Notamacropus eugenii: one gene and its partners. The protein of the gene in region 1 interacts with the protein of each later gene in a biochemical or structural test. Links are inferred from orthologs where the notes say so. Each region holds a gene or a part of one and is shown in the gene's direction. Other genes may lie near its edges.

Region 1 (11,162 bases):
TAGGTTTTTTTTTTTTTTGGTAAAAACATTTCAATTTTATGCAATCAAAATTGCCCATTGTATCTTCTGTCCCTTCTATTCCTTGTTTGATGAAGAAATAGTTCCCTACCCATAGTTGTAAAGGGTATCTCCTTACTTGCTCTTCTAGTTTGTTAAAGACATGAGCTTTTATAATTAAACCTCATTTCCATTTGGAGCTAATTATGATACACAGTGTGATAAGTTGGTCTAAACTTAATTTCTGCCAGACTGTTTTCCAGCTTCTTTAGTTGCTTTTGCTAAATTCTTGTGCTGGTAGTTGGAAAACTTATGTTAACTAAATACTATGCTAATAGATTTATTTACTCCTGGGTCTTCTGAACCTAATCTGTTTTACTGATTAACTTCTCTATTTTCAAACCAGGAGCAAATAGTTTTAATGATTACAGTTTATAGTACATCTGGTACTGACTGCTAGGTTCTTTCTCTTCCCTCTCTTTTTCATTATTTCTCTTCAGAAGTTACCTTTAGTTCCTCATGACATATTTTGTTATTATTTTTCTAACTGTATAAAGTAACTCTTTAGAAGTGGTATTACACTGAAATAAAAAAAATAAGTAAAATGATTTAGTATTTTGGCATAGTCCAAACCTGAGTAGATATTTTGTTATCTGGGTCTGCCTTTATTTCTATAAAAAGTATTTTATAGTCATATTCATTTAATTCCTATATGTTCTAGTGTCTGGAGTCCTAGGTATTTTACATGTTCTTTAATTATTTTGATGGAATGTCTTTTTCTATCTCCTCCTGCTAGGTTTTGTTGGTAATATATAAAAAGCCTAACAATTTTTGTGAGGTTATTTTATATATCCTGTTACTTCACTGGTTACTGTTTCAATTAGTTTTTATTTGGCTCACTAAGTTCTTTAAGCAAACCATCATGTTATTTGCAGAAAGCAATAATTTTGTTTCCTTTCTGCCTATGAACTGAACTTATTTTTGTTTTCTTATTTCTAGAACTATCTCAAATAATAGTGGTGACAGTGGGCGTGCTTACTTTACCCCTAATGTTATTGAAAAAGCTTCTAGAGTTTCTCTATTACAGATAATGCTAGAACTTGTTTTTAGGTAGATACTATTCAACACATTAAGGAACAGTCTGTTTATTCCTGTTTTTGTTTTTATGTTTTTAACATAAATAGGTGTTATAGTGGTTTTTCCAAGAGTTTCTCACTACACTTTGATATACTCATGTGGATGTTATTGTTTCATTACTAACATGGTCTATAATATTTGTAGTTTTCCTAATAATGAACCAAGGGCAGCTAGGTGGTGCAGTGGATAGAGTACCACGCCTGGAGTTAGGGAGACTCATCTTTGTGAGTTCAAATCCAGCCTCAGACACTTACTGACTTTGTGACCCTAGAGAAGTCACTTCATCCTGTTTACCTCAGTTTTCTCAAATGTAAAATGAGCTGGAGAAGGAAATGGCAGAACACTTCAAATATTTTTGCCAAAGAGACCCCAAATGGCATTATAAAGAGTCAGACACAACCAATAAATGACTGAATAACAACAATATTGAACCAATACTACATTCTTGATAGAATGACAATTTGTGCAATATTAGAATGGATTGTTTTTTAAATGTTTGTTAGATTAACTTGCAAATCTATTTCAATTCTTCAGAGACTGTTCTATTTCATATCTTGTCATACAGGAACACCAGTAGAAAGTTGGCATTTAAAAGATAGTCCTTTATGTCCATAGAAAACTTGGGATCATTCAAGGAGTTCCATAATTTTCTGAAAACAATTCATCCCATTCTCCCTGTTCTGTTCAACTCCTACTTCAATTTGTTATCCATTTATATTGTTTATACCAGTTATATAGACTAATAGAGAAGCTCTATAGACTTTCCATGTAAACATATGTCATAATCTGAGAGACATTCATAATGGTCTTTTTGGATGGTCAGGCCAAACTCTTTGAACAGTTACAAATCTTTTCCAACAGTCTTTTCAGTGCACCATTTATTTATGAGGATGACAATACAATGTCATCCCCAAGCAACAATATCTATAGGACCTCACCATCCACAGAGAATCCCCATTTATTTTCTGCACCGGTACAGTGACAAATATATAAGGGGAAGAGAGTCTTTCCTGTTTTATGATGATTATGATTTCTACTTTTACATCTTATCAGAAATCTTCAGTGATTTAATGTAGATAGAGAGGCATCTCATCAGAAAAGAGCCTTTAAGGTGGCATTTTGCCCCATTGATTCAAATACTTTGAATAATCAACAAAGAACATAGTAAGATCTTCTATTCTTTATATTTTTCAAACAATTTTGGAACGATGTTCTTTTTGAAATATCACTTCTGAAACTCTGCTTGTTCCCCACAAAATTGAGGATTCTCTTGAATTCTATATATGTGAATTGAATAAAGATTATGTATAGGTAGAAAAGTAGGTAGATAGATAGATAGAAAGACAGACAGATAGATAGATAGATAGATAGATAGATAGATAGATAGATAGATAGATAGATAGATAGATAGATAGCTGTTGATGTCCTCTTATTTGATTCTTTTAAACATGTCTTTGGTATGTTCTCCTGACTCAGAACCTTACACATTGACTCTAGCTCTCCCACAACTGCATGTTCTTTAGCATAAATCTCCTCTGCATATACTTACTCCATCCACTCAGGTTGCTTTTCCTATCTTTGTATTTATTAATGGCATGTCTAACTCCCCTATGAGCGTATCCTGGAATATGTTAGGGTCCAAGTGTGGACTATTAAGGTTCCCTTACTGGTGAAAAGTTTGCCATAGTATTCTTTAAAGATTATTTGTATTTTTCTTCTATTTGTTGTCCTTTCATTTTAGTCTCCAAATACCTTTTGGATGACCTTGTGGAGCTGGATTTCTTGCAAAAGTTTCATTAAACTAGCTGTACCTTCTACTACTTCTCCCTGCTTTAAGGCTAGATTGCTAATAATTGTCCACCATCCTTTGTAAAATTTTTGAAAAAAATTCTTTTTTTAGGTGCTTAATACATGTTTATTGACTTACTGCCAGTGCCTTTCATTTCAAGATTACCTCCCATCTACAATGTAAAAATCTGTTATGTACATAACTATTTACATGTTTTCTCCCCCCAGTAAAATGCGGCCTTCTTAAAGATAGAGACCATGTTGTGTGTTTTTTCTTCTGCTTTCCATGTATCTCCAGCTCTTAACAATGTCTAGCAAATATTAAGCACCCAATAAATGCCTGCTGACTGACTAACACCAGAAAAAAAAGACACATAAACTGCCTCTAAACCTAGAAAGGACACTAGATTCAGAAATTTAAGAAGACTATGGACCACCAAATCCAACCTCCATTTATTGGCATTGAAAATCCTTCACAAACTTGATCTGACATAACTTTCCAAGCAAATAGTACTCCCATTCACACATTCTACCATCCAGTCAATGTGTCCCATTTTCTTTTCCTCATATATAAAACTTATATCTTCAGTCTTTGTACAAACTATCTGTTCCCTGGTCTGGAATTGACCCTTTCCTTACCTTATTTACCTCTTAGAATCCCCACCTTCCCTCAAAGTTCAGCTCATATTTCAGCTCCCACCCAAGGTTTTTTTTTTCCTTATATAATTTATTTATTTTTCAGTTCTTAACATTCACTTCCACAAGAATTTGAGTTCAAAATTTTCTCCCCATCTCTCCCCATCCCCTACCCCAGGACAGCATGAACCCCATTCACCCCTTCCTCCAGTCTGTCCTCCCTTCTACTACCCACCCTTCTTCCATCCCTCTTCCCCTCTATTTTCCTGTAGGGCAAAATAGATTTCTATACTCCATTGCCTGTATAGCTTAATTTCCAGTTGCATGCTAAAACAATTTTTAACCTTCATTCTTAAAGCTTTGAGTGCTATATTCTCTCCCTCCCCACCTACCCACCATCATTGAGAAAACAAGCAATTCAATATAGGTCATACATGTGTAACAATGCAAAGCACTTTCATAATAGTTATGTTGTAAAAGACATTTCCCTCTGTCCTATCCTGCCCTACATTTATTCCATTCTCTCCCTTGACCTGTCCTCCCACAACAGTATTTGCTTTTGATTATCCCTTTCCCCAATTTGCTGTCCCTTCTATTATATTCCCTCTCCTATCCCCTTCCTCCTTGCCTTCCTGCAGGGTAAAATCGATTTGCATATCCAATTGAGTGTGTTATTCCCTCCTTAAGCCAAATCCCAAGAGAGTAAGGCTCAATTATTTCCTTTCATCGTCCCCCTCTTCCCTTCCATTGTAAAAGCTCTTTCTTCCCCCTTTTATGTGAGATGATTTGCTACATTCTACCTCTCCCTTTGTCTTACTCCTAGTACATTCTATTCAACAGTAAATTTTATTTTTTTAGGTATTCTCCCTTCATATTCAACTCACCCTATGCCCTCTGTGTGTGTGTGTGTATATATACACACACATACACACATATACCCATATACATATACATACCTACACATATATAATATACACATACATACCCATACCCACTTACATATATATATATATATATATATATATATATATATATATATATATATATATATATATATATATATATATGTATGTATGTATGTATATTCCCTCTAACTACCCTAATACTTAAAAAGGTCTCATGATTTACAAATAATATCTTTCCATGTAGGAATGTAAACAGTTCCACTTTAATGAGTTCCTTATGGCTTTTCTTTCCTGTTTAACTTTTCATGCTTCTCTTGATTCTTGTATTTGAAAGTCAAATTTTTTATTCAGCTCTGGTCTTTTTAACAGGAATGCTTGGAAGTCCTCTATTTCATTGAATTTCCATTTTTCCCCCTGAAGTATTTATTATACTCCATTTTGCTGGGTAGGTGATTCTTGGTTTTAATCCTATCTCCTTTGACCTCTGGAATATCATATCCCAAGTCCTTTGATCCTTAGTGTAGAAGCTGCTAAATCCTGTGTTATCCTGATTGTATTTCCACATTACTTGAATTGTTTCTTTCTGGCTGCTTGTAATATTTTCTCCTTGACCTGGGAACTCTGGATTTGGCTACAATATTCCTAAGAATTTTCCTTTTCAGGTCTCTTTCAGGAGGTTATCTGTGGATTCTTTCCATTTCTATTTCACCCTGTGGTTCTAGAATATCAGGACAGTTTTCCTTGGTAATTTCTTGAAAGATGATGTGTAGGCTCTTTTTTTGATCATGGTTTTCAGGTAAATCAATAATTTTAAAATTATCTCTCCTGGATCTGTTTTCCAGGTCAATTGTTTTTCCAATGAGATATTTCAGATTGTCTTCTATTTTTTCATTCTTTTATTTTTGTTTTATAATTTCTTGATTTCTCATAAAGTCATTAGCTTCCATTTGCTCCATTCTAATTTTGAAGGAATTATTTTCTTCAGTAATCATTTGGACATTCTTTTCCATTTGATCAATTCTGCTTTTTAATTAATTTAATTTATTTTTTTATTATTTTTTATTTATTATTTTATTAATTTAATTAATAAATCAGTTCTGCAATTCTTCTCCTCATTGGCTTTTTGGGTCTCTTTTGCCATTTGGGTTAGTCTATTTTTAAAGGTGTTAATTTCTTCAGCATTTTTTGGGTTGCCTTTAGCAAGCTGTTGACTTGCTTTTCATGACTTTTTTGCATCGCTCTCATTTCTCTTCCCAATTTTTCCTCCACCTCTCTTACTTGATTTTCAAAATCCTTTTTTAGTTCTTCCACGGCCTGAGACCACTGCATATTTTTTTGGAGGTTTTGGAAGCCTTGACTTTTAGGTCTTCCTCGGATGGTATGCTTTGTTCTTCCTCATCTGAAAGGAAGGAAGAAAATACCTTTACAGCAAGAAAGTAACCTTCTATAGTATTATTTTTCCCTTTGGGGCATTTTCCCAGCCAGTTACTTGACTTTTGAGTCCTTTGTCAAATGGAGGTTATACTCTAGGGACCTGTAAGTTCTCAGGGCCTCCAAGATGGTACAATCAAGGAAGAGGAGTTTACTCCTCTCCTAACCTGTTCTCTGGTCTGTGAGCAACTACAAGCACTCTTTTCTGCCCAGGATCTGTGAGTAGGATTCCCTCTCCAGAGCCTCCACCAGCTCCACCATGTCAGTGCTCCTCCTCACCCCAGGACTGCCACTCAGAACTGAGACTCAGATCAGCAGCTCAGTGTCCCCAGGGTCTTTAGGCTGAGGGCTCCAAAAGTGGACACTGCTGCACAGTGGCTGCTGCCATCTAGGGGCTAGTGCTGGGGCCAGACCATGCTCCCCTCTCACACAGGGGAAAGAGCTTTCTCATTGACTTTTGAAGCTATCTTTGACGTTTGTGAGTTGAGAAATCTGGGAACTGCAGCTGCTACACATGATTCTGCACCCTGGAGCCTGCTCTAGTTTTGTCCTTGCCTTGTGACCCAGACTGGGCTGTGCTCTACTCCGAGCTGGTGCAATAGATCTTTCCTGTTAGCATTCCAGGCTGTCTTGGGCTGGAAATCTCTTTCACTCTGTTGTTTTGTGGTTTCTGCTTCTCTAGAATTTGCTTAGGGTCATTTTTTACAGGTATTTTATGGGCTATGCGGGGAGAGCTTCTACAGGTCTGTCCTTCTACTCTGTCATCTTGGATCTGCCCCCTTTTGAAAAAATTTGTAGTCTAATTTGCCTTTGGCAAATGAAGAAGTTGCCTTTGGCCCCCATCTCTCTCAACTTGGCAAGTAAGTAAAATGTTTACTAAATGAAGCATTAAACATTGTTTACTAAATTAAGCTCCTTTGGGTCTTTTTATTGTGAAAATAGCCACAGTCATTAGTCTTCTGTATAAAAGAAATTTTCATTGGTATCAATGTCATTTTGGATCCCCATTTCCCAATTTTCATTGCTGATTATTTGTTTAAATAATCTAGGATTGAGTTGTTTAAATAGGAACTCATACTTTTTCATTATTGTTCTCTTTACTTTTTAATAATTTTGACCTTTGCTTAACATATCTGATTGTACACAAATAACTGATCCAAGATAATTTTACACCACTAATGCATTTTTCTGTCCATTAGCATAAAATCTATTTCATTTTTTGCAATGTTATTTGTTGCTCACCATGTGTAGAACCTTACTATGTCTTTTCTTGAAGAAAATGTTTGTGAGATAAAGGCATGAGGGTTCTGTGAAATTTACAAGTCTTTGACTTCTCTCATCCCTTTTTCTTAAAATCTGCTTTCTCATTTACATTTTATCTTCACTTTTTTCACTTTTATTGAAGTTATTAAGCATCAAAATATATGCTGCTTTACTTTGGAGGACCTTATCAATGTTTTTATAGAATTTCTCTACCTACCTCTTCATCCTCAACAATCAATATTGGTCCAAAAGCTACAATTATTTTCATGGTGGTCTTTTTACAAACACTTATCAGTACTGTAATACCAGATGACCAAATATCCCATGAAACAGCATTTCTTAGATGGGATGGGGGTGCAGCTGGATGGTTGAGCCTGAAGTTAGAAAGAAGAAATAATCATCTTCCTGGGTTCAAACCTAACCTTAGATACTTAACTAGGTGCCACTTAATCCTATTTGCCTCAGTTTCCACATCTATGAATGAGCTGGAGAAGGAAATGTCAAATCATTCCAGTATCTTTTACAAGAAAACCCCAAGTGGGGTCACAAAGAGTCAGATATGACTGAACAATAACAATGTTGCTACCATTGGCTATACTATAAGAGCAACTCCTTTCTTTGCCTCTTCAAGGTGTACTGGGATTTATCTTCCATTTAGATGTAACTTCCTCTTGTTTCTTGTTTCCTTTATACCAAGAATTTTAAGACTGATATGATTCAACTCCTTTAGCAGTCATATGCTAAGTGGGGAAGGCGGAACTGAGATCTGGAGGGAAGACATGATTTTATATTGACATTGTGTGAGTCAGTAGAGGTAAAGCTGAATAGCAGTGAATGCCCAGTTGAGGTTACGTAATATAAATGTATAGTAGTTTAAATCAGCTTGGTTTTCTCCATTAACACTGAGTATTCTCTATTATTGTTGCTGTTAATAATAATAATTGTGGGTTCCCCTAATCAACCTTTATTACAACAGATGTTTTGAAATAGTTCTGTGAAGACTCACTGCTAGGTATGTCCTACTATTGCTTCCATTTTAATAACAGGAAAATGAGAGTAAACATTGGGACAGATGGCAGATATGATAGGGTGCATTTAGTTGTCATCCCCTGGTGTCTTTTATAACATATATTGTTCTTGGTAACATACTACAGTTCACTTCCCTTTTCCCTTTAAGTCATCTGTAATATTGATTCTGAAATTGTGGTGTTCCATGGTTCACAAACACAAGGCACCACCCCAAGAATATTGGTATTAAAGAGATCATCTTTCGAAGCAGTGAGCACTTAGGATATACTCACAGGACTATGCAATTTCCTAAATGTCATCTGGCCTAAGCACTGCCTGGCATATACATACATACACATATTTATAAGATACACACATATACATGTATTTATATGGGTATATGTCTGGTTAATACACATATACCTTCTTTTTAGTATGTGTGTTGATACCTGCAATCAAAAGACATGGGTTTGAATTCTGGTTTAGTTACTTCCTAACTATGTGACTTTGAAAAAAGCCATTTGAAAATTTTTTTTCTCAACTGAAAAATAAGAAGGTTAGCATAGGTGATCTTTGAGTTCCTTCTAGCTCTAAATCTGTGCACATGTGTGAGAGAGATAGCAGGGTCTTGTGGATAGGGAGCTGGTCTTTCCAACCAGGAGGACTTGGGTTTAAATCTTACCTGTGACACATACTGGTTTTATGACTCTGGGCAAATTACTTAATCTCCCAGTAGTCTAGTCAACTCTGTACTACATTAAAGGTGCCTACTGGAATTGGTAGAGGGGGTTTCCTCATCAGGGAATTTCCCACAGCAATGCAATCATGGGTTTAGTCTTCATCCCTATCCATGGTTGGCAACAATGGAGCAGAAAATGAGTGGGCAACTTTCAGAGTTTTGGTGAACAGCATCACATTTGCTCCTTTGGGTCAAAACACTTGCAAACATCAGGATTGGTTTGATGAAAATCATGGGGAAATTCAGAAACTACTATATAAAAAATGAGAATTCCACAATGTTTAACAACAGGACAGTTCTCCCAGTTCTAGGAAGGCAGTTTTAAAATTTCATCAAGAGCAAAGTGCAAAAGAAGCTTAGAGAGATGCAGGATTCTTGGATCAGTGAGAAGACAGAAGTGATTCAGTTTTATTTTAATAGTAACAATTTAAAGCACTTCTACAATGCCCTTAAGGCTATTTATGGATCAAAGATCTTTGATGCATCTCAGCTACTCAGTGTTGATGGAGCCACACTAATCAGTGATAAGGACATGATCCTGGAGAGATGGGTTGATGTAGCAGAAAGCACCTTGACATACATGGGGGGCTTGCTATTACAGGTTCTGAGATCTGCTTTTCTAAAAGGAAAGGCAACTTGTGAGGGGTCAACAATGACTTTAATTAAGCACAAGTATCATTCAATTAGTTCAGGGGAAAAAAGTCAGAACCCTAAACTTCAGAGAAAATACAGAGAAATGAAAATCAACAGATGTGACTTCCAACTATCTGACATAAGCAATATATACATCATAGATCAACAGACAGATCCAATTGTCTGACTATTACATGCATACATGGTTACCAGAGAGAAGCACCAATATCTGGATTTTCAAAGCTAGGGGGCTGCTTAGTGGCTTCCCAAAGTCTCGTCTGGCACCAAAACCTTCTTCCAAGACTAAACTCCAAAGTAAAACCTCACCTCAGAGTCTTTATACACTTTTTAGAGCCAGAGGGCATCACACCCTTTGATAACCAGTGTCTCATTAGAAAATAAACAAAAGATGTGGGTCTTCCCACAAATCTTTCCAAATCAAACTCCCCTTAATGGGCAGGCCCATTAATGGGTGGGAAAGAGCTTCCCATTAAGAAACAAAATTATGTTAACAATAAGCAAAAATGCATTATCAATATAGTTGACCACTTCCATACTATTCTCAACAGAATGTCACCAATGCTGAAGCCATTGGTGATATAACACAGGTTGAAGTCAACACCTCTTTAGCTAAACTTCCAACTGAAAAAGCAGTTGAATGCCATTAGGCTCCTCTTGTGTGGGCAAAGTGACAGGTGCTGATTCCATTCCAGCAGAAATCTACAAGGCAAAGGGTTAGTGTTCATGCAAAAACTGACTAAAAATCTTCTGGATCATATGGCAAAAAGATGTTATTCCCCAAGAGATCAAAGATGCCTCCATTGTCCATCTCTATCAAGAAAAAGGAATTTCTGATTCATAGAAATGCAAGGACCTAAAAAACTCCCAGTGAACTCAAGGCAAAATGCCTTCCACATCCAGAGTAAGAACTGGATTGCAGAATAAAGTAGACCATTTTCTCTTGTATTATGTTTTGTTTTGTTTTCATAGTTTCTCCCATTCATTTTAATTCTTCTATGCAACATGACTAAGGTGAAAATGTATTTAACAACAATGTATTATAGAACCTATACAAGATTGCACACTGTCTTGGTTAGGGAGGAGGAGGGAGCAGGAAAGGATGGGGAGGAAGGAGGAAAAAATCTAAGATATATGGAAGTGATTGTAGAAAACTGAAAACAAATAAATTAATAAATTTTTTAAAAAGACAGACAAAGGAAAAAAAGAAAAACGAAATAGGTTGTTCTGTGACAATTACAAGGGGGTCTCTTTCTTAGTCCTTGCTAACAAGATTCTTGTGTGTGCTCCTTCATAGGCTGATCCTTTCTCTGGAGGATGGTAATCTACTCAAGAGCCAGTATGGCTTCAGAAAGGGCTGAGGAATAATTGATACGGTGTTTGCTGCCCAACAGCTCTGGAAGAAATAGGAGCAGAACAGAGATCTATACATAACATTCATCAATCCAACCAAGGCCTTTGATACTGTCAACCATGAGATGTTATGGAAGATCGTGTTGGAGTCTGGTTGCCCAGAAAAGTTCATTAGTATTGTACACTTGTTTCGATGGTATTCCTACACAGGTTCTGGAAAATGGATGATCCTCTCACAGTTTTCCGGTCATCAG
Region 2 (11,311 bases), on another chromosome or scaffold:
TACAAATGTAATCTATTATGGTTGTTGTTTCATTCTTTTCATCTTTTTTGATGAAGTTTAGATAGAATTAGTCTGAAAAACAAGTCGTTCATCTGCTATTTTTCTCCCTGATTTATTGATTGATTATACTTAACATTCTGTGGACTCTCTGTAGGTAGACTAATGATTGCTTTTTACAGTTGATCAAGAACATTGGGATGTAAGACCATCTTGTTTTTGTTGTTGTGTTTGTCCTTTGTTCTCAAAGAGGACCATGAAATCAAGATGATGGTATGACTTTCACTTGACTTTGATTTGGGTGAGGGAGGGCTGTGCAAGGTCCCCAACCTCACTTTCTCCTCCTGAGCCATCTGGGTCCAGTGGCCTGATATTCATCATTATACACCAAACTGCTTCCCACAACCTCCAGGACACAGTATTGAACCATAAACATTTACAAACAATAATTATGATAGATGTTACCACAGCAAATACTTAGATATGGAAGAAAAAGCTTTCAAAATATAGAGACAAAGGAAGGAATTAAAACCACATGGGAACAGGAAAAAGGGCATGCCATCCTTGTTGAGCTGTCTGCTGCTGGAACTGCTGCCTCCAAAATGCTTTCAAATAGTTTATAGATGAGTTTAGAATAAGCCTTGAGCCCAATTCACTCTAGAGTTCATAGACTGGACACCAGGTCCCCGCCTACCTAGCACAGAGTGAATGTAACTACTAAATAATAGTTGTTTCTCTTTTACCCAGGAACCCTCAGGGTATTCCCTCCCAGTTTGATTTTTTTTTGCTTTTTTTTTCTTTTATTAAAAGGGGCCATCCCTTGAGTAACTACTTAAAGAGGTCTATTCATTGAATGAGTGTATCTCACTCAAAGTGAGAATCTGGTAAGACCTTAGCCTAAAATGGCCAAGGTCCTACATTGTATCCTTATAAAAACTGACTTCTAAAGAGTCTGGAAAGATGTGAAAATTTTGACTGTCATAGAATCTTAGAGCTGAGAAACTGTATACATTGTCCAGTCCAGGCCCCTCATTCAATAAATGATGAAACCGAGACCAAAGCTTAAAAGGAAACCAGCGATCAAATGACTCGTCCAAGTTCATGCAATTAGTCAGTATTGGAGCTGGGACTAGAACCTAGGTCTCTCGACTCCTAATACAATTCAGTTTTGCACTCGACCATGCTGCTCCTGGTAATCTGTTCCAGACAACTGTTCAAGAGCCCACATGTACATACACACAAATAAACACAAATCACATACATAAACACACATGTGCTTGACATCTTCATAAATCATATTTGCTGTTTGTTAAAAAAAATGCTCATTGTATCAAATTTTTTACCACTAGGAAACCATTCAGAATGTAGGAATATGTAATGTATTCAATTGTTTTCTAATATCCCCCACGCATAATTTACTTCTTCTCATCAAGAGACAAGAGGATCATATCTCTTAGCTTCACGTTTACAATGATAATGCCAGAGAAGAAATTAAAGTTCTTGCAACTATTATACAGATGCAGAAAATGAGAAACAGGTTTTGTTTCAGTTCCTCGCATCTAAATCTTTTAGAACTATTTCAGCTATACCTGTTAATTAAATAAACCAGCCAGAATCTCTTTGGAAGTAAGGTTGTTATAGCCCTAGGTGAATTGTCCATGCTGCCATAAAGATGAATTATGGCTGATTGATATGACTGCCACAGTCAGACTTGAATAACTCAGACACTGAATATTTAAATACAATCAGGCAATTTGTGTGATTTGCTCAAAACCATAGGGTGATTCCTTAGCCTAGTTCTCTGCTTGGTTACTTCATCTCCCTCTGGTGTATTATGCCCCTCTGATATACTATGTTCTCACATCCACAGTACCTTTTCCTCAATAATTTTCTGTCTGTCATAGAAGAAATGGAAAGAAAGCAGGTTTGTGACAACACAAATTTTCTCTAATTAGATGACTTTGATGGTTGGCTATCTATTGTCAAAGAATCACTTCAAAAAACTTTCAATTCACAATCAACTAACTAATTTGTTGAACTATTAGTCAGCCTACCTAGTGGAAACATTCTCCGCAAGCAGAAACAGCCAAAGACTATATTTAAACAAATGCAAAGACCTATCTCCTCCTCTACGCCCTTACCCTACTTAGGTATCCTTTTATACCTACAAGTGTTGACACAGAATCCCACTGTTGCCCCTAAGGGAATGACTATTAAGGGGTAAAGTAAGATATGATATTCTAGTATAAGATCAAAATCGCTTCAATTTAATTTTTGAAATGCCTAACAGACAATTTTCACAAAACAGTGTTACCTATTATATTATAATAGCTTGCACATACATGGATTGTATCCCTTCAGGGAACAGAATACAAGCTAAATTCATAGATACTTCTGATCTGATGCTATTGATAACCAGAAAAACCGTAGACACTGAATTTACATAATGTAAATAACCACCCAGCAAAGCAAGAAATTTTCTCACTATTCATGTTGGGCACTTAGGTGGCTCAGTTGATAAAGTGCTGAGCCTGGAGTCAGGAAAACCTAAGTTTAAATCCAATCTTAGATATTAGCTGTGTGATCCTGGGCAAGCCGCTTAACGCTCTTTGCCTAATTTTCCTCATCTATAAAATGAGCTGGAGAAGGCAATGTAAAACCACTCCAGTATCTTTGCTGAGAAAACCTCAAATGGGGTCCCAGAGAGTTGGACACCACTGAACAACAACGTAGATGTTACTCAACTTGTTGGATCTTTGTAAAAATTATTATGTAGCTAAATGGTTTTGATGCACATTTTCTTTCATCCTCACTCGCTTTTTTGTCAGATTAGACCTACATCATTTCATTATATATTCACCTTGAGTATAATAAATGTCATTTTTTCCAGTTGGCAAAGATTATGGTTATGTTTTAAACTCAGACTATAAGAAGATACAAAAGAGACCAGCCAACATGGTAGGCAGAGAAAAAGGAAAAGAATACAGCTCAGTTTTCCAACAACAATCTAAGAAGGATGCTGGGTGAAGAAGCAAATTGGAAACTGAAGGAGAAAGTACAATCATCTTTCCAACCCAAGACTACAAATTCAACCTACAGGCAAGTAACAAGGATGGGAACTATGGAACCGAGGAGGTCTGGTATCACAAATTTAGGGTTTTTGTTCTCCAGGCTAATGCAGGCCAGGTATACCAAGAGTTGATCACACACTTAGCCATCCCCCTTCTCCAGTAATGCAATGGGACACCTAGAGCTTCAACCTAGGTCAGCCTAGAGCAATCTTAGACTTAGTCACTAGTGCAAGTCAGCAGCTATGGGCAAGAGCATGGACTCAATGCCCAGAACTCTGAACTAAGTAAGTAGTGTGGGGATGACCAGAGATGATCATGGATTCAGTTCTGAGACATACCTAACAGTAAGTGGTCCCCCAGAGGGATCAAGAGTCTAAATTCAGAGTCAAGAGATATGAAGTAGGCCTGGAGGACAGCAGCCCAGGCCAGCAGACTGGACTTGGGAAATGGAATATGGCTGTGTAGCCCAGAGCAGATCACCTGATGAACAACTAAACAAACAAACAAAAAGATATAGTCAGCTAAACAACAGGCACTTATTAGGTAATTACTGTGTGCAAGGCATGGTGCTAAGCACTTGGGATAAAAGAACATTAAAAAACATTCTTCACTTTCAAGGAGCACACAGTCTATAATGGAGGAGACTTCATAAATCTCTTAGAATGAGAGGCAAAAGTGAAAATACAAAGAATGTGTGGCAACTTCCTGAAAGTAACCCCCAAATTAAAATTCCTAGGAATGTCACTGCCAAAATCCAGAGCTCTCTGATCAAAGAAATAATATTGAAAGCTTCCAGAAAGAGTTTAAGGACCAAGAAACCACATGTGATAGTCAAGATCACATAATACTTAGCATTTGCTCAAAAGGGGTCTCTAGGTAGCATAGTGGATAGAGTACCTGGCCTGAAGTCATGAATACCTGAGTTCAAATGTGACATCTGACACTTACGAGCTGTGTGACCCTGGGCAAGTCACTTAACCTGTATTGGCCTCAATTCTTTATCTATAACATGGGACACACTAGAGAAAGAAAAGGCAAACTATTGCAGTATCTTTGCCAAGAAAACCTCATGGACAAGTCCATGGGGTCATGAAGAGTCAGATACAACTGAACCACAACAACTCAAAGGGCACAAAGAGCATGCAATATGATGTTCAAAAAGGCAAAAGATCTAAGCTTGAAATTAAAAATAAATTATGCAGAAAAACTGAGTGGAATCCTAAAGGGGAAAAATAGACATTTAATAAAAGAGGCCTTTCAAGCATTCCTAAAGAAAAGACTGAAGCTGAATAGAAACTTCTAAAATACAAATACAGGATTAAAGAAAAACATAAAGTAAACACAAGGGAGCAAATCGGGGTGGGTACTTTATAGGGAAGAAATGTTGGAATAATATCTGTATCTCCTAAGAACTGCAATGTCATAGAGGGAATCAAATAAGACGTAGGGTCTCCAAGTAATTTTTGTAGTTTTGATTCCCATAAAAGGTATAAGGAAAGGGAGGGCTAACGGAAACACTACAGAAGAAAATAGGAGGCCTGGAGTAGGGTTTATCTGACATAATCTGGGTCACAGGTAAAAATCCATACCAACAAGGAAGAAATCAGGGGAATGGGTTTCACAAACATCACTGTAAATAGATGCGGTGTTAACTGTGCAGAATCATCACAATAACTTACACTAGAGCAACAACACTGTAAAACTGAACAATTTGAAAGACTTAAGAACCCTGATTGATGTCATGATTGTGATTTCAGAGGACTGGTGACCCTGCTCAGCCTTGACAGAGATGTGAAAGACTTGACTTACAGAGTGAGACATATTTTTGGACATGGCCAATGTAAGACTATGTTTTACTTGACTATGGTTATTTATTGCCAAAGCATTGTTTTTATTTAGCGTTGGCTAGGATGGAAGGCCATCTGCTTGTTAATTGACCATAATTTTCACAAGTAGATACTATACCATAAGCTATCAATTGCACATTAAAACTTAAGAGAAGCAGTCTTTGTCTAAAGACTAGATATGTGGTCTAACTGGCTGACAATTTATGTTTCTCAGTTTAGACTGTTTAGACTGTGCTATCTTTCCTGGGTCAGGATGCCTCATGTTGGCATCATGTTGGTCACTTGATAAAATAGTTAATAAAAGATGCTGTGATCAATTTTACATTCTATTCTGGCTTGTTTTTTTTCCCCCAAAGATGTCACTGGAGTGCATCAGCATCTAAATATTAAGCTTTAACGTCTGCTCTTTCAAGGCAAATCTTGCACAATTTTTGCTTGCAGAATGAGCCTCTATCTATGACGCATTACCTATTCTGTTTTTTCACCCTGGAAAATCCCCCACCTCCTCTATTCCTTCACAAGCCTTTCTGACTGAATGTCTTCCATTCAGACCGTCTCACTCAGAAAATAATTTTTTTCGTCACTGCAGAGCTTCCTTCAAAGCTTGTATGCTGCCTTTTTTTTTCTTAGTGACACTTTGGCAAAAGGAAGCCTAAGTCTCTGCATAAAGCATCTTGCAGTGTTTGTGTGTCATCCCTTAAATATTCTGAACTGTTTTGCAATGAATAACAAAAAACAACAGTGTTCTGTTGGTAATTGAGCACTTATAGCTATTATAGATTTTTATTATAACCTTTCAAGGATTTAAAATGTTTTATTTGGGCACGAATATGCAAAAATCATGTATTCTAAAGTCAACAACCCGTCCAATATATTAAACACAACATTGATGATTACTGAGTATTGTAATATCAGATTTTCCAAACCTACCATTTGGTCCTGTGATACTACTAACAAAGTTTAAGGGGTACAAATTCCAGGTATCTCCATTAGAAACAGCTTAGATTAAATTCTTCTGGAGCAGACCTCCTTCTCAATTCATTTTCTTTATTTTCTTTTTTTCCAGGGCCTCTCTCTCCCCCTCTCTTTGGAGACTGTAATCAGGAAGAAAAATATTGTTTTGATTTTACCCTTAGAGAGCAAGATGGGTGGAGAATTCTCCTAGGACCATAAGCTCTGAAGGGATTCTCCTGAGCTACAGGGGAATCTTTTCTTTTTCTCCTCTGGGGAGGGAGTCGTGAAGTTTCAAGACTTCAAGGTAGAATTTCAGATCACGTCCTTCCCCTAGGAGTACTCTGCAGTGCTGGATTTGAGACGTCGCTCCACCGCCCCGCCTTGCCCCTCCCCACTTCCCCCACCTCCCACCTACTCACCATCCTCCTCGGAAAACCCGGGCTAACCTTCCAAAACACCTGCGAAACAGTCATAAGATGCTCCCACCCCAAGCCGATTTACATAACCTACAGCCAGCTGTGGGCTGCTTTGGCACAACTAGACAGTCATTCTGTGTTTGTTTTCTCACAAGTAAGAAAGTAGATGGATTAACACTTTCTTAGTCTAAAACAAGTGCCCTTTACCAGTCACAAAAGACAACCAAAGTATCTTGTTTGAGAAATGAATGAACCACTAGGATTTTGTCACGTCCAATCCCCCTAAGCACCTCCTTACCCCACCGCCTTCCCCCGGAAGTCTGGATTGTTCTATAAGCCACATACATACAGAAATATAGAGTAAATCAGAAGCTGGCTTACGAAAGCAACAAGCCAAAACATTCTCGCTTCTTCTTTGGGAGTGGGGGACACGATATATGAGGGGAGGGAGTAAAGGGGTGTGTGTGTGGTTATGAAGGAGTGGCAAAAAAGGGGGAAAAAGAACATTTAAATCACAGACGGGGTATTTCTTTCTAGCTCCCATACCAAACTTCAGTTTCAACTATGCAACAAGGTTCCATCACTGGTAATCAATAAGACTAGCATAAATTCTAAAAGCAACCATACCCACGTCTCCAACTTCCAAAATAAACTCATTTGCTTCCTTATTATGGTTCCTCTGACGTATTGTAAAAATAATTGTATTTTCTGAACGAACTAAATCATATTAATGCAATTCCCATATCTAAGGGGCTGCTCTAATAAAGAGAAAGAAGTCACATATAAAAATAGCAGCCCACGTAGACTGGCCATATATGGAGCAAGAGAGACTTCAGAGGGATGCCCCTTCAGACCCTCCCCTTTGGCGAAAACAAATCTCTGCTGCATTATCCTCCCTCCTCGCACCCTCCCCCCTCTGTGACTCAACCACAGCTTCAACTGGGGGGTTGGGGGGGAGGAAGATAACGAGACAAAAACTGCCCGGACAGGCCCGTTATTCCACGCCATCAGGCTGGTATAATTGAATTACGAGAACCATCTTCGTTCAGTTATTCACTTATTTCTCAGAGATGAAAATTACAAAGGATTGCAGCAAGGTGCAGTAGCAGCTGAGTCAAGCTATCACCATCTCCCAGCTCCTCCCCCTCCTTTTCTCCCTCCCTCAGCTCACTTCCTCCTTCTCTCCTCCCCTTGATGAGATGTCTATTAAAAGCTGCTGACGTCAAAAAGGACGGCCATCTTTGATGAGGGCAGAGCTCCCATTGCATTCAAGAAGAAACCTCGGGGAGGTCAGGAGCAAACCGTTCCGTCCTTCCCTCCCTGCAGCGGCAGCAGCAGCCTCTTCAGAAATCGCCTATAAACTCGAAACCTGCCTAGGCTCCGAGAACACTGTCCCTTGAAGCCCTCTCTACAGAAGTCAAGGTAAGCTACCCTTTTCCTCATCCATGGATCTCTCTGCCTACACAAACAGAAGGGATACGGATGAATGTGTTGCTGTGTATACAAAATGGGTTTGTGCGAATACAAGTGTTTATGTATACAGGTTGAGGCATTATATAAGTATTTCTATATACTCTCTATATACACGTATTGACTTCTAAAGTAGCTTCTTGCTGAACAGAATGATGGAGAAGTCGGGGAGGGGGTGAGAAAGAGGGAACTGCAGATATACCCAGGTGAGAAAGAATATCCAGAAGAGACTTATCCTTTTAAAATTGTTATTGGGACGGGCACTCTTTATTCCTTTTCTGTCATTTTGCTGTTCAGATGTTGCTAATTTTCTTTACAGAAACAATCATCATTATAAGAATGTTGTGATTACTTGATTATATGAAGACGATGCTTTCTTCTCCCATTGATTATTAAGGAGGAGGGTAGGGTGTAAGGTGAGGACTGGGGAAAGAAGGGAAAGAGGAGGGTGAGAAGAGTTCCCACCCAGACGAAGAAGAAGCAGTTACTGCAGCAACAGCAATCTCCATGCCCGAGGAGTTTGATTTATGCTGTCTGCTTTACGTATAAACTGCAGCCTGGTGTGGATTTGGGGTCGTTCTGAGTAGATTTTTTGCTCCTGGGACGGCCGGAATGGTTTTTCTACTGGTTCTGCGGAGCACCCATGGCCCAGGACCATGGAGAGTGACGCTGAGAGACTGCGTCTGATGCAGTCGACCTTTCAGCACCAGGGACAGTAACCCAAACTGCTGAGTTGCGGCTGCTTCTACCTGGTGCAGAATGAGTGTGTCTCGTTTGAGATAGGGGCACACTTAAGTCCTTGACTGGAATACGGGCCCTAGAAAAAACTGCAGGTCTCTCAAATAACCTTTAAAATATCCTTAAAAAGAATCATAGTGGATAAAATCCTTCCAACAGTAGCTACTTGTTATTTGACAGTTCTCCCCATTCACCAGAATATCTATCCTTTTTTGTTTTATTAAGGATTTACTTGTGAAAATAATTTTTCCCAAGTAACAAGCTCTTTTAAACAGGGACTTAGCTAGAAGGTGGGCAGATCTATCGTGTATTGGTGTGTGGAGGTTGTTGTTGAGCGACTCTCGAAAATATGTGTTCCTAGGGATCTGCTGTCATTTGTCTCCTGTTTTAAGAGATTATGAGCCTAAACATACATGTATCCACTTGTATATGTGTGTATATAATGTGTATATATGTACACATACATATGTACACATATATAAACACACATGTATGTGTGTATATGGAGGGAGAGAGAGAAAAGAAAAAGGGAAGAGATATTAATTAAACTATATCATAGGTAAACAAAGTACAATTAACTTTAATATTGAATCCCCCCTTGGATTCCCTCTTCTTCTTAGAGATGAACCACTACCTCCCTCTCTCTCTCTCTCTCTCTCTCTCACTCACTCACTCTCTCACTCTCTCTCTCTCTCTCTCTCTCTCTCTCTCTCTCTCTCTCTCTCTCTCTCACACACACACACACACATACACACACACACACATATACTTTAAAATATATTCCTAAAATGTTTCAGGTTACTGACAGTGTATGGAATTCATTCCTTTAACTTTGTATTCAGATCACAAAGCAACCATAAGCATTTCCAAAAGAATGTGTTAACTCCTACTTTAGCTTATCAAACAATGCGCTTCTAGTTTTGACAGAATAGACAGTTGATTTATGACAGGACACAGGATCCCAATGGGTCTTCATTACGACTTCAGTAGGAAAATCATAGTGGTTCTACTGAACCTGGATGCTGTCCTAAAAATCTGCTGCAGTTTGTTATGGCATTGCAGAATTCTGCTGAGATCGTAATGATGACCAAACAACTCACTGGATGAAATTATTTAACCATTTAGAATCATTCAGAAAAGTTATCACAGATTTCTGATATAAAGTGATCGAAAGCTAAATTTAGTGATTTTGACAAATAACAGTGAAAACACAGAAATGTACCCAAAAGCATATATATATGATGCATGAACAGAAATGCCACCTTAGTACCCTCTGAATTATTAAAATAAGATTTTAAAACATGTTTACCAGACAACCATAACAGTGTGATAGCTTCTATATCATGTTTGCTAAAATGGGAGCAAACACTTAGCCTTTTTCCCGGGGTCTTTTCCTTTTAGTTGTGTGTGTGTGTGTGTGTGTGTGTGTGTGTGTGTATGTGTGCGCATGTGTGTGTGTGTGCGTGCCATATGTGCATGGGTATAAAACTATTTGGTTATTATTTTGTCCAAAAACATGTAACTATTTAAAAAGTAACCTTGCAGCCTTTAGGCAAATAAACAACCATGTTTGTGGTGCGGGAAGGTTAGGAGAAAAGATGGGCAGGAGTCTTTTAAAATATGCCTCGACTTCATAGGAATGCTACCCTGCCGCACGTCCAGACAGCCCTCTGCGTAGTTGCGTCAAAAGAAAACCACCAGAGCTGCCAGATTTACGTGCTTGGGCATTAGCAATTACTGCTGTTTTTGTTCCCTGCTAGTGGAGGAGTGAGGGGGAGGGGAATCTGCAGTGAAGCTAGTGGGGGGGAGCAGTGTAAAAGGCTAGGGAAAAGGAGTCAAGTGTTTGATTTTAGAGAGAATTGCATAATATCCTCCTGGGTAATTTTTTAATGACTTGATGATGAATTTAACATTTACTTGGTCAGAGACTTTAGGAAAAGCATTTCTAAAAATAACAAATTTTGAAGCCTGGACAGTCAGGTCAGGAGAAACACATGCAGATATGTTCAAGGACAAGGATAGGAAAGATTATATAGTTCTTCTTATGGGACCTGCTTATAGGCTCATTAAGATTGTCTACATTAATGTCTTAAAGTTTGACTCAAAAAATACAAATTTAATTGAACCCCCAAATCCAAATTGCTCTAAGGAATGTAAGTTATTATTTTTATTTTATTTAAACAAAAAAATCGATATTTTTTTATAATAAGAACAGTAGATTTATGGAAATTTGTGGTCCCATTGGAATGGCCTTGAATGTTGATTACTTTCAGTCTAGAGTTGGAGGTCCCTACTGGTTTAGTTTCTCCACCTCAAACACAGGGTTTTGTAATATTAAAAAAAAATGAGAGGTAACTTCAAATAAGTGTGATGATTAGAAGCAGCAGAATAATAAAGAAAGAAGAAAGAGTTAAATTTATTGTTTAGATTATACAGGTTGAAGAAACATCTTACTTTTCAAGTTATGGAAAACTATTTTCAATTCCATAGAGGTAAGGAAATGTTTTTCAGCTTTAATCATGGGTAAGCTTGTTTTATTACCCTTCTACCCACTAGATCTGATTTTACTTAATCAATATTTGTAGAAAAACAACTATTTACAGAGCACTCTGCTAGGCACTGTGGGAAATATAAAGTGATATAAAATATGATTCCTGCCCTCCAGGAATATATCATCTAAAATTAAATGATGAAGGGAAGAGTTAAAGATAAAACACTAATCCAAAAAAATTACAAAGACACTATATGATTAAATGACAAATAAATGTAACTGACAATTCCACAAGTTCAGAGAACATACGACTTTCCAAATGAAGAA
Region 3 (11,250 bases), on another chromosome or scaffold:
TTGGTATGGCACTTTTTCCTTATTGGTGGAGATCAATGTCCTATGTCTGTGTCAGGATCAGAGCAGAGTTGGCCAGAATGGAAGAGAGGGGAGCTACTTAGTTCTGGCCCAGTTGTCCTGTTCTCTTCAAGATTTCAAGTTGCTTCAGGTGATTTGGTTTTCCATCTTCAAGAGGGAAGATAGAAGAGGACAACATCATTTCAGGTTTCTGAAGGAAAGGATTCTGGACAGACATGAGAGGAGCTGGTAATCTCAATTATTATCCTGTTCCCAGCTTTCTACTCTACAGACTTTGGGGACTTTCCTCTTGAGTGAGATCTAGGACTCTTGGTTGAACTGAATTATCTTTCTTCCAGTGGGAGAACTTCTACACCCTATATTGACTGATATATATTCTCCTATGTATATTTCCTTTGATTTCTGTTTTGCTATTTGAATAAATGGGTTTCTTTGCTATTTTGTATGTGTGTTCATTACAGAACTGGTAGTTGGAGGGAAAGGAGTCAAGCCTTGGATGTAGAACTTAGGGTCCTCCTGCTCTCTCCAATAAGTAAATTTAGAAATTATTTTGAACCTGAAACTCACATCCCTTAGATTAATGACATTTAAGGGAGTAGTTAGATATAATTCTAGCCAATTACTCAATCTCTCTGAGGAGAGCAAAATGGCTGCCTCTGGTCCCCAACTTCCTGCTTTCCCTTCTGGTAAGAATTAAAGTCTTCCTTATAGAAGGGATAGGTGGAAAAAAGACTAGAGATGCCTATTCTGCCTCCCTTCAAGCCACATAGTGATACTCCCCTCATCTCTCCCCATCCCCAACCATGTTATATAGGGGGACAAGTAGGTCTTGTCACATATAGCTTTTTCATACATAGTTGTTTGTATGTTGTCTACCCCATTAGATTTTGAGCATGATGAAGGCTCAGGAAAGATAGAGGAACCCCAAGACTGGAGTTCCCTATGTGGATCGCCTGGAAAAGAGTTTCATAGACTCAAGTATTTTTAAGGTCAAGGTGATAAAAATTTATTATGCTTTTCAGTAGGGAACCTGCAACATTAGAGGATACAGTTAAGTTTATATAGGATATTTTATAGTAAAGCATGTGCTGAGTGTGATGACTAGGTGATTTAGGGTAGGATTAGGGAGTGGTTAAGGAGTGGTTAATTCTTAAAGGAAATTGCACTTTTAGTATCTACTGGACAGCTATTTCACCCAAAGTTCATCAAGAAATCGTCTGGGGGGGAGGGTGCTACATGTAAGTGTGGTTTCAGACCTGAAATGTCACTAAGTCAACTAATGGTCAGGACTGGCTAAGTAATACCAGGCTGCTGTTATCAATGTCTTGTTAGATAAGATGAATGTAAGGGAGTATACGTATGTCTAAGTCTAGGATACATATAATTGGTCAGTGAGTGGTAAACGTTGTTATGACCCAGTGCACAGCCAGTTCAGCCAGTACACAGCTGGTTCACACTAATAAATTCTATATGTGCAGCTGGCTACTGTATCAGGAAGGGAGATAACTGTTGTTGCTGGGGCAGGTTTTGTCCTTGGGCTGCGGAGAAACTGCCTGGGATAGTGTTTTGAGACTAGGGAGAAGTGTGATTTTTAAAGAGAAATGTGATTTTAGAATTGGGGCCCAAACACATGCACCCAAGCACCCCATCAAGCACCTTGAGAATAGTGACTGTTTTTTGCCTTTCTTTGTATCTCCAATGCTTAGCATAGTGCCTGTGCATAAATAGGCATAATAAGTACTTATATACTGACTGAACACAGGTTGATGTCAGGAACTTCAAAGAAAGGAGGGACTTAAAAGGAAGGAACTATAAAAGCAGAGTCTTAAGGTCAAGGAGTAAATCTGGGCCTTGATCCTTGCAAATGTGAACTGGCAATTTGATGGGAAAAGGGTTGACTCTCAAGATGAAAATACCTCCCCCTTTTTACATATTATCCCATTATTCCCTGCCTTCATTTGTCACAATGCAAGTTCAGATTACAGAACTAATAATTCTGCTCTCATCTTTTCCCCCTCCAGTGCAGTAATTAGACCAACATTGAGCAAAACTAACCAATACATCAGCCAAATGACAGCATCTACAATATGCCATGCCCATTGTCACCCACTTCTGCAAAGGGAGGAAAGTGCATTTTATTTTCATTTCTTCTTCAAGGGAGATCTTGTCCACTTTAATGACAGAGGTATTGTTTTATTTTGCTCTGCTTGTTCTTGTTTACATTTTTGTAATCAATAAAATTCCCTCTTGAGAAGCCTCAAACCCTTAGGGTAGTACTATAGGTACCACCTAGTAATACTTAGATAGGCCTCATATGCCTTTCTCTTCTGAGGGAGTTTGAACCTTGTATGCAGTTCATATTTACAACCTAACCAAATTGGCCAGTCATCCTCAACGAGGTGTTTGTGGGTCAACAAATACCTAGGCCAGGAATAATACTTGCCCCCAATGGGAGTGCCATCAAACCTATCAAGGAAATATAACCAAAGTCTCAAGGAATGGCCTCATTTTTTAACTTTGTCCAGGCTTACTCCTTGGTCATATGTATATAATAGATATTCATGAAGTTCCTGTTGTTTGTAAGGTACTGTGCTAATTTATAGGTTAGTATATAGACCTTGATTGTGTGGATTTGCTTCTGGGTCTCTGCACAAGAAGTGGAAATTGGCAGTATGGAAGACAGAGAGCTGCAGTAGCGGCAAGTGCCAGGTGAAGAGGAGGGAAGAGATTGCATGGTCCTAGGAAGTATAGGTATAGGTAGCTTAGCTCTTCCCTGGCACTGTTCCTGGAGGTCTGTTTTGGAAGACAGAGTGGCAGCAGGTGGTATGGGTGAAAAGTGACTACATGGTCTCAGGAAGTGTTGAATCCTTTACTGAGCCTTGCTTTGGACATGCCTTCCATGTGCAAGGCGCTGTGCCAAGATTAATTTGAGGAGGGAAAAGTTAATGAGAGAGTACTGTCAGAGGATAAACACCTTCTTTGTCCGTTTTACAGAATGTGGAGCCCAACTTAACATTAAACTCTCATCAAAACAGGAGGGCCACAGAATGACTTTTCTCTGTACAAACTAGAGATCTTTTTCTCTATTTTTGTGGGACCTTATCAGGGGATATCATTCTGCTAAATTCTGAAATCTTTCATGACCTCTTAAATTCTTTCCCCAAAACAAACTAACAAAAACCTAGGGCTTAAGGTGTAGTGTAAAATACAGTCAAATTTGGATGACAAGAGTGTTTTTTTGAAATCTTGCTTTGGAAGGCCAATGTAATCTCAGGGGATTCATTGAGAGGCATTAGTCTTCAAGACTGGGGATATGGTAGTTCCATTGTACTCTGTCTTGGTCAGACAGCATTTGAAATTGGGCACCATATTTTAGGAAAGATAAATTAATATGAGGCCATAAGTATGGAGAAGAGCCTCCAGTGTATGAAAGGTCTGGGAAACTATTAGTCAGAAGAAGATAACATTTAGAAATGACCTGATAGTTATTCATTTCAAGGATATCTAGAAGGCTGTTATATAGAAGAGAGATTATATTTGTTCCACTTGATGCCACAGGGAAGAACTAGAGGCAATAGGTGAATTGCAAAGAGTCAAATTTAGACTTGAAATGAGGAAAAATTTCCTAATAATTAGATATTTCACCAAAAGGTGAAAGGGTTATATCATTGGCTCACATTGAGGCACACAAACAAAGTCTGGATGACCACATCTTAAGTATGTTGTTGAGGGGGTTTTGGTTCAAAAACTGGTTGGACCTGGTGAACGGTGAATTAGGAAATGAAGCAATTTATAGTCTTAGAGAAGTCCCTGGGCAGTAATTTAGAGGCTGAGTTACTTGCCCGAGACTAGTATGTGTCAAGAAGCAGGATCTGAATCTAGGATTTTCTAGTTTCAAGGGTGGCCTTGCTTTGTAGGCATCAAGACGCTTGCCAAATTAAATAATGTTAAAATTTAATGAGTTCTCTTTCTCAGGGATGGTTGTAGTTTCTATTTTTAGTCACTATTACTTTGCCCTTAGGTTACAAATATATTTATATATTTGATTCTAATAAGAAAATTTTAATTCTCAGACTATTCTCAAAGTAAAGAAAAAACTAAAAAAGATTTTTAAAAATTTCTAAAAGGTCACCTGTAGGAAAAGAATCCTACAATTAACTTACATGTATATGTGACTTAAAATGTAGATCCCATCCTATAGGATATAAAGTGTAAATATATAAACACAGCATCTAGCCCACAGTGTATTCTCAAATATTAAAGCAATTGTATTCATATTTATAATTTTGAAATGATAAGATTTTTCTCCTTAGTGTTCCTGTGGCAAATCAGTCAACAAGCATTTCTGAAGCACTGTGTTAAGATCTGGGGATACAAAGAAAGGCAAATACTGGTACCTGCCTTCAAGGAGCTGACCATCTAATGGGGAAATAACATTAAAACAACTACATAAAAGATAAAATAAATAGATTATATATACATATACACACAGAGAATGATTGGAAAATAATCTCAGAGGGAAGTGTGTATGTAGGCAAAAGGCCCACCTAGAAAGACCTCTTCAGTGGGTGAAATTTGAGCTGAGATTTGAAGGAAAGTAGGAGAAGATAAGAAGGGAGAATATTACAAAGATAGGGAAGTCAGCTACTGAAAAGGCACAATCCAGAGATGGAGAGTCCTGTTTGATGAACAGTGGTCAGTATTGCTGGATCATATAGTATATGAAAGGGAAAGTGTAAGAACATTACAAAGGGAGAAAGAGATCATATTATGAAGGCCTCTTAAAGGAAAACATGAAATTTTATATTTTGAGGTAATGGAGAGTCACTGGAGTTTATTTGCTTATTTTGAGTGGGTGTTGTGTTTGAAATGGTCAGACTTGCACTTCATTAGGAAAATCACTTTGACATTTCAGTGGAGGATGGATTAGAGCCAATTTAATTCAATAAACATTTATTAAGCACCTACTATGTTCCAGGCACTGTGCTAAATTCTGGGGATGCAAAAAGCAGCAAAAGACAGTGACTACTCTAAAGGAGCTTACAATATAATGTAGGAGACATGCAAACAAATATATACAAAGCAAGCTATGAACAGATAAATAGGAAGAAATCGATGGAGGGAAAGCATTGGAATTAAAGAGGGGGTTTAGGGAAGGCTTCCTGTGAGAGGCAGGATTTTTGTTCATTGTTTGCCCTTGGTTCTTGAAGAAGACACACCTAAGGAAGGTGATGTCATGACTTGCAAGTGAATTGGATTTAAGTGAGAGAGGGCTGTGCAAAGTCACCAAAAAAATTGCCTTTTTGAGCTAAAGTCTTTCCCAGGTCTCAGTTTTACTGAGGCAATGTCCATTCAATGATTAAAGCTGGGTAAGAAATGAAGAAAAGAACAGCTTTTTCAACCTAGTCAAAAAATTACATATATATTTTTTATGTGCGTGTGCACGCGCGCACACACACACACACACAATCAGTTTAGAAATTAGGAAGCACATCTGGGAGGGAACTGAAGGTTAGTTGATCTAGGCCCTTCCCCAAAATGGAGGAAGCAGGAGGAGCTACATATTAGAAAGATACTGGTATGGTAGAGGGATATTCTAGGGTGAGGAAGCCTCAGTTGCTGAGAAAGGATTCAAGGTGAGATTTTAGTCAGGCCATGGTTTTTAAGTCTATTAAGTTAGAATCACAGCCAGGAGGAGAATAAAAGTTGATTTAAAAAAAAAAAACAACAGATAAATACTGCAATTTTTTTTAAAAATATCTTTGGGAAACAGACCTAATAATGGTATTGCTGAGTCAAAGGTATGCTGTTTCATAGTCCTTTGTTCCTAGTTCCAAATTACTCTCCAGAATGGTTGGATCAGTTCACAACTCCACCAACAGAGCTATTTAGTGTCCCAATTTTCCCACATCCCCATCTAATGTGTCATTTTCCTTTTCTGTCATATTAGTTTAGATTTGTTTTAATTTACATTTTTCTAATCAATAGTGATTTAGAGCATTTTTTTTATATGAATACCAATAGCTTTGTTTTCTTCCTCTGAAAACTGCCTGTTCATATCCTTTGGCCATTTATCATTTGGGGAATGCTTTGTATTCTTATAAACTTGACTTAGTTCTCTATGTATTTGAGAAATGAGTTCTTTATCAGAGAAAATTGCTCTAAAAATTTTTTTACTGTTATGATTACTATGTATTTCCTTCTATTCGTTTCCCCCATTTACCCTCTCTCTCTCTCCTTTCACTTTACCCACCCTCAAGTGTTTTACTTCTGACCACTGCCTCCCTCAATCCAATCTCCCTTCTATCAGCACCCCCTCTTCTTGTCTTATCTCCTTCCCTTCTACTACTCTGTAGGATAAGATAGATTTTTTATACCCCACTGGGTATGTATACTATTCCCCAGGTGAGAGTTTTGTTTTGTTTATTTTTCTGGGTGAGGGACACGTGGGCATGTTTCTAGGCAAAGAGCCAGTAAAGATGAAATTGAAAATAAGTGAGAGAGTGAGGATGAGAAAGGGGGCAGTCTGTTGAAGGAGATAGGATGGAATGGGATCACTTGAACAAGTGGAGAGGTTAGTCTTGGTAAGGAGTAACACCAAAGAGACTAGAGGCAGGGAGATAACCAGAAAACAATAGTCCAAGCATGAAGTGATAAATATGTAGCAGGGTGGGGTGGGAAATTGTGGAAATTGCTTTGCATATTACATTATTAATCGGATCACTTGTTATATATTATGCTGTATCACAGCATATATATGACAACATTATTTATCATATTGTAAAATACGTAATGTGTTTACTTAGAATCCTAAGAGCATTGATTCGCAGCTAGAAGAGTCCTCAGAGGTCACCTAGCTCAAGGTCACCTCACTTTACAATTCTGTATACAAGTTGCAACATAATTTCCTTCACTTCAGGGACTGGGTTGTTTTTGTTTTATCTTCAATCTCTTCAGCACAATGTCTGGCTCGCTAATTAAATACTTGTCGAATTGTTACCAAACCTAGATTTGTGGTTTTTTAGATCTCAGTTGCACCTACATCTGGTTTCACCAAACGCTGGGGAAAAAAGAAACAGAGCTACAGTAGCATGGGAATCCCACCTCTTCCAAAACAACCCAGAACTAATTGGCCAACTGCGAAGCAAGAAGGGTTAAACCTCCCTCTCCTGTACGCTGATTGGCTTGTAGCTCCAGGGGCGTGTTCTGGGCCGTATTGGGCGAAATGCGCAGGCGCCTGCTGGGGCCAGGGTAGGGGAATGTGGGGATTTCTGAGTACGCATGCGTCAGAGAGACCCAGCCCTGGTTCTTATCTTTGGCCAAGTCCGGGTTGTGGAGGATTGGTAGGGGAAGGACTGCGAAGTCTCAGGGTGAGTTGTGAGGGCCCCGGGGCCGGGCCGGGACCGGGGCAGCTGCCGGGCGAGGTTCTGGGCGAGGAGGAGCTGCGCGTGACTTCCAAAAAAATGGTGGAGAGGCGGCTGAGCGAAGAAAAATGAAGGGGGAGAGGCGCCGGCGCGGAGGGGGAGGGGGAAGAAAGACACGGGGGGAGGGGGAGGATACGGGGGGAGGGGAAGACACGGGGGGGAGGGGGAGGGCAGGGAAGTAGCGGGGGCGGGGAGCGTCTGTCCGTCCTCGTCTGTGCCTGGCCTGGGAGGAGGGTGTGACGGTGGGAACCCCTCTAGTGGGTAAGGGAAGCAGGAAAGGGGGTGTGTGTGTGGTGGGCATGGGGATGGGATATGTGTGTGCCCACCTTGTAGTGCAAGGATGCGCTCCTGGGCAGCGAGCGTGTGTAAGTGTGTGTGTATGGGTATGTGTGTGTATACACACACAGTGTGAAGATACACTCATGGGCAGTAGTAGTGTGCCCCCTTCTTAAGTGTGTGTGTATGGGTATGTGTGTGTATACACACACAGTGTGAAGATACACTCATGGGCAGTAGTAGTGTGCCCCCTTCTTAAGTGTGTGTGTATGGGTATGTGTGTGTATACACACACAGTGTGAAGATACACTCACAGGCAGTGAGTGTATGTGTGTATATGTAGTTAAGTGTGTGTATATGTAGGTATGTGTATGTGTGTACACACAGTGTGAAGATACACTCATGGGCAGTAGTAGTGTGCCCCCTTCTTAAGTGTGTGTATATGTAGGTATGTGTGTGTATACACAAACAGTGTGAAGATACACTCATAGGCAATAGTATATATCGATATTAAGAACCACACTTGTTCAGATTAAGAGAGAGTCCAGAGAAACCCGAGAATGCTCCTTAGAAGACTGATAGCTTTGATGCCATCTTACAAAGAGAGAAGAGTGGGAGATAGCTTCCTAAATTCAGGGATGGGGGGTGGGATGAGGATGTTTAAAGCTTCCCTTCCCTCTTCTTGCTCCTTGGTCCTTCCCTTCAAGGCCATTAGTTACTGTAACTTTTAAATAGACAAGTTGGAAAGGGAAGGGTGGTTCTTAGAGAAAGTTGGAAGAAAACACAAGTTGGTCCATAGAGAAGTAGTCGTTTTCCCTCTGCCCCTCATCTCATCAAGATGTAATTAATGACTGGGGGAGGGGAAGGATGTAGTTACTGAGCAGTGGGGAGCCATGTGATGAATGCACTTTGAGCTTTTTAGAAATAAGGTATTGCAAGTATTAACAGAGACATCATTCTGTGTATCTAAAACTGATCTTTAGCCTCTATGGTGAGGCCCATCCAGTATGACGTGGTTACTGTCACACTAGGAGTAAAAATAGGATGTACCATTCTGGTCCATACTAGAAAATGCCTAATGAATTTTAAATCTGGGTATCATTATCCATAGTTTCCTGGGAAGTCTTAGTATTGCAATTATATTTTATGACCTAATATATTAATTTAAAATTTTCTCTAGTCCTGTCACTACCTAAGCCAAAAATTTGCCTAAGGTGTACAGTGTTTATGAAATATTCTTCATCATTAAGTACTGTCAAAGCATATGGGATTACATATGCTTTATAATCCTTATTTTATATAAAAAAGCAGCAAATATTAGGACAAATGTAGTTGCCCCTTTTCCAAGCACCAGAACATAATTAAAGTAATCATAAATTACAGCCCTGTAGCGTATGCATCTATCAGCTCTAGTAGTTCTCTTTAAGCAGTTTGCGACATGTGGTCACTTGCTGGTTCCTATGATTGTCATTCTTGTCAGTGTACTTTTGGATTCAAAGTGACTTTTGTTATTTTACTTCCTGATAATATTGTACCACTTCTTCTTCCCTGACCCTGGTATGCAGCTTTACATAAACATTTGTGGGACTTTCCGCTTTTTGTAGATAACTACTGTTACAGCATATTAATGTTCTTGTTTCTTTCATTTCAGTTACCTTAAGAACAATAACACCCCTCCTATTTAACCAAGAAGAAAAAAAAGGCCTGGGCAGCCAAAATGATGTGACAGATCCCATGTGCTCAAATTGACTCCCTTAAGGACCAAACATCAACAGAAGTAGCTATTCTGTTCAGCACAGTTTTAATGGATTGCTATTTGGTTTCCCAGGTCATAGTAAATTAGAGGGGGAAAGGTGGAGTTCATACCTAAGGGATAGTATTGGAAGGAAAAGTATACTGGAACATGCAAGATAAGGCATGTAATAGTATATGGGGCCATTTAGTATAGGGTTAAATAGCCCTATATACTTCAGTGGTACTGAGGACATCAGTATTTATTATTGTAGAATATAATAATTTATAATTTAATCCTGAATCATAAAGATTAAATTATTTTTCATGTCCTTTGCTTAAGAAGGCTGTAACTTGTATAAAATAGTTTCCAAAAAGTTTTCATCATAAAGTTGATTTAAAAAAATATTGACACTTCAACAGCATTTATCAAGCATCTGCTTTGTGCAAAACACAGAAATACAGAGATGAAAATGACACTGTTCCTGCCCTCAAGAAGTTTACATTCTGAGGGGAATAGGATATGACATAAATGCAGATAAATATAGTTCAAGGTAGAGAATTATTGAGGGCAAAGAAAGATGCAGGCAAAATACTCTAGCATTACTGGAGGAGGAATAGAAAACTACTTTTAAGCCAGAAGAACAAGGAAGGCTATACCTGAATTGTACCTGTAAGCAAGAAAATTCTAAAAAGTGGAGGTGAGGAAGGCTTGTATACTAGGAATAGAAAATGACCTGGCTAAATGCACGGAGAGAGGAGATGTCAAGTTGAGGAATTCTGTACTGTTAAATCCACTTACTTTTCTTAGTTTTATTCTTCACCTATCTGTAGCATTTGAGGATTTTGATTACCTCTTTTTCCCTGAATACTCTGATGCCTGGGACGTTATGACCAGGAATCTTCCTGACACTGCTGTTTCTTGTCTCTTTTCTAGAAGTCTGACTGCTCTTTCCCAGTCATCCCTGATGAATCATCATCTGTGGTCTGCCCACTCTATGTGCGTGTCTTCTAGAACTTGCTGCTGGACCTCCTTTTTTCCTTACTCTACACTCTTTCCCTTTGTGATCTCATTAACTCCTACATATTCCCTTTCAATCACATGACTTCAGGTCTCTTCTCCAGCTAACTGCTGGACATCTCCACCTCCGTGTCCCGAGGCTTCTCAAACTCAGTGTGCCCAGAAGGTTGGTGAAGTTCATGATTTCCCCTCCTGTGCTCTGCATTAGAGCTGGAGTAGCCTCCTTGTTCCTCATGCCTGACTTTCTGTCTCCTTGGCACAAGCTGTGTCCTGTGCTTGTCTTGTTTGTCTTCTTTACCTCTGTCTCTTGGAACCCCTAGGCCCTCACTTACGTCTCAGCTCAGGTGCCATGTCCTGAATGAGGTCCTTCCTGATATCTACTTTCCATCCCTCCCTCCCTTAAAATAAAAATTTATTTTGCATTTACTTTGTATGTATTTCATGTTTGTTTAACTGTGTAGGTATTGTTTCCGTCTAGTAGAATGTCAGTTCCTTGACTGCAGAGACTATTTCAGTTTTGTCCATCTCTGGCATATAGAAGGTGCTTAATAAATACTTGTTCGATTGATTGACAGAAAATACTTCCTCAAAGTACTTTGTTTGGACAAAGTTATGTAATTTAGCAACTCTCTGATTTCCAAACCATGCCAATAATTTAGGATTTGGCTTTATTTTACTTTTTCAGTAGATGATTTTTTGCTTTAGAATGCCATCTTTCAAAGATCTTCTTGGAGATAGTATTTTGTTAAATGCATCAAAGACTGAGGTACGCACTGGATA

The links.
Region 2: the proteins of STX4 (region 1) and SNAP25 form a complex in vitro, tested with the Homo sapiens proteins (3 studies listed by BioGRID). The link is inferred for Notamacropus eugenii from reciprocal best matches to the Homo sapiens genes STX4 and SNAP25.
Region 3: the proteins of STX4 (region 1) and SNAP23 form a complex in vitro, tested with the Homo sapiens proteins (4 studies listed by BioGRID). The link is inferred for Notamacropus eugenii from reciprocal best matches to the Homo sapiens genes STX4 and SNAP23.

The regions. Positions count from the first base shown.
Region 1 is NC_092874.1:377,693,653-377,704,814, reverse strand, and holds the start of STX4 (syntaxin-4), read left to right. Parts: upstream 1-6,518; 5' UTR 6,519-6,754; intron 6,755-10,852; 5' UTR 10,853-11,162. UniProt on the Homo sapiens protein: Plasma membrane t-SNARE that mediates docking of transport vesicles. Necessary for the translocation of SLC2A4 from intracellular vesicles to the plasma membrane.
Region 2 is NC_092872.1:583,448,531-583,459,841, forward strand, and holds the start of SNAP25 (synaptosomal-associated protein 25), read left to right. Parts: upstream 1-7,257; 5' UTR 7,258-7,707; intron 7,708-11,311.
Region 3 is NC_092878.1:28,888,758-28,900,007, forward strand, and holds the start of SNAP23 (synaptosomal-associated protein 23), read left to right. Parts: upstream 1-7,196; 5' UTR 7,197-7,388; intron 7,389-11,250. UniProt on the Homo sapiens protein: Essential component of the high affinity receptor for the general membrane fusion machinery and an important regulator of transport vesicle docking and fusion.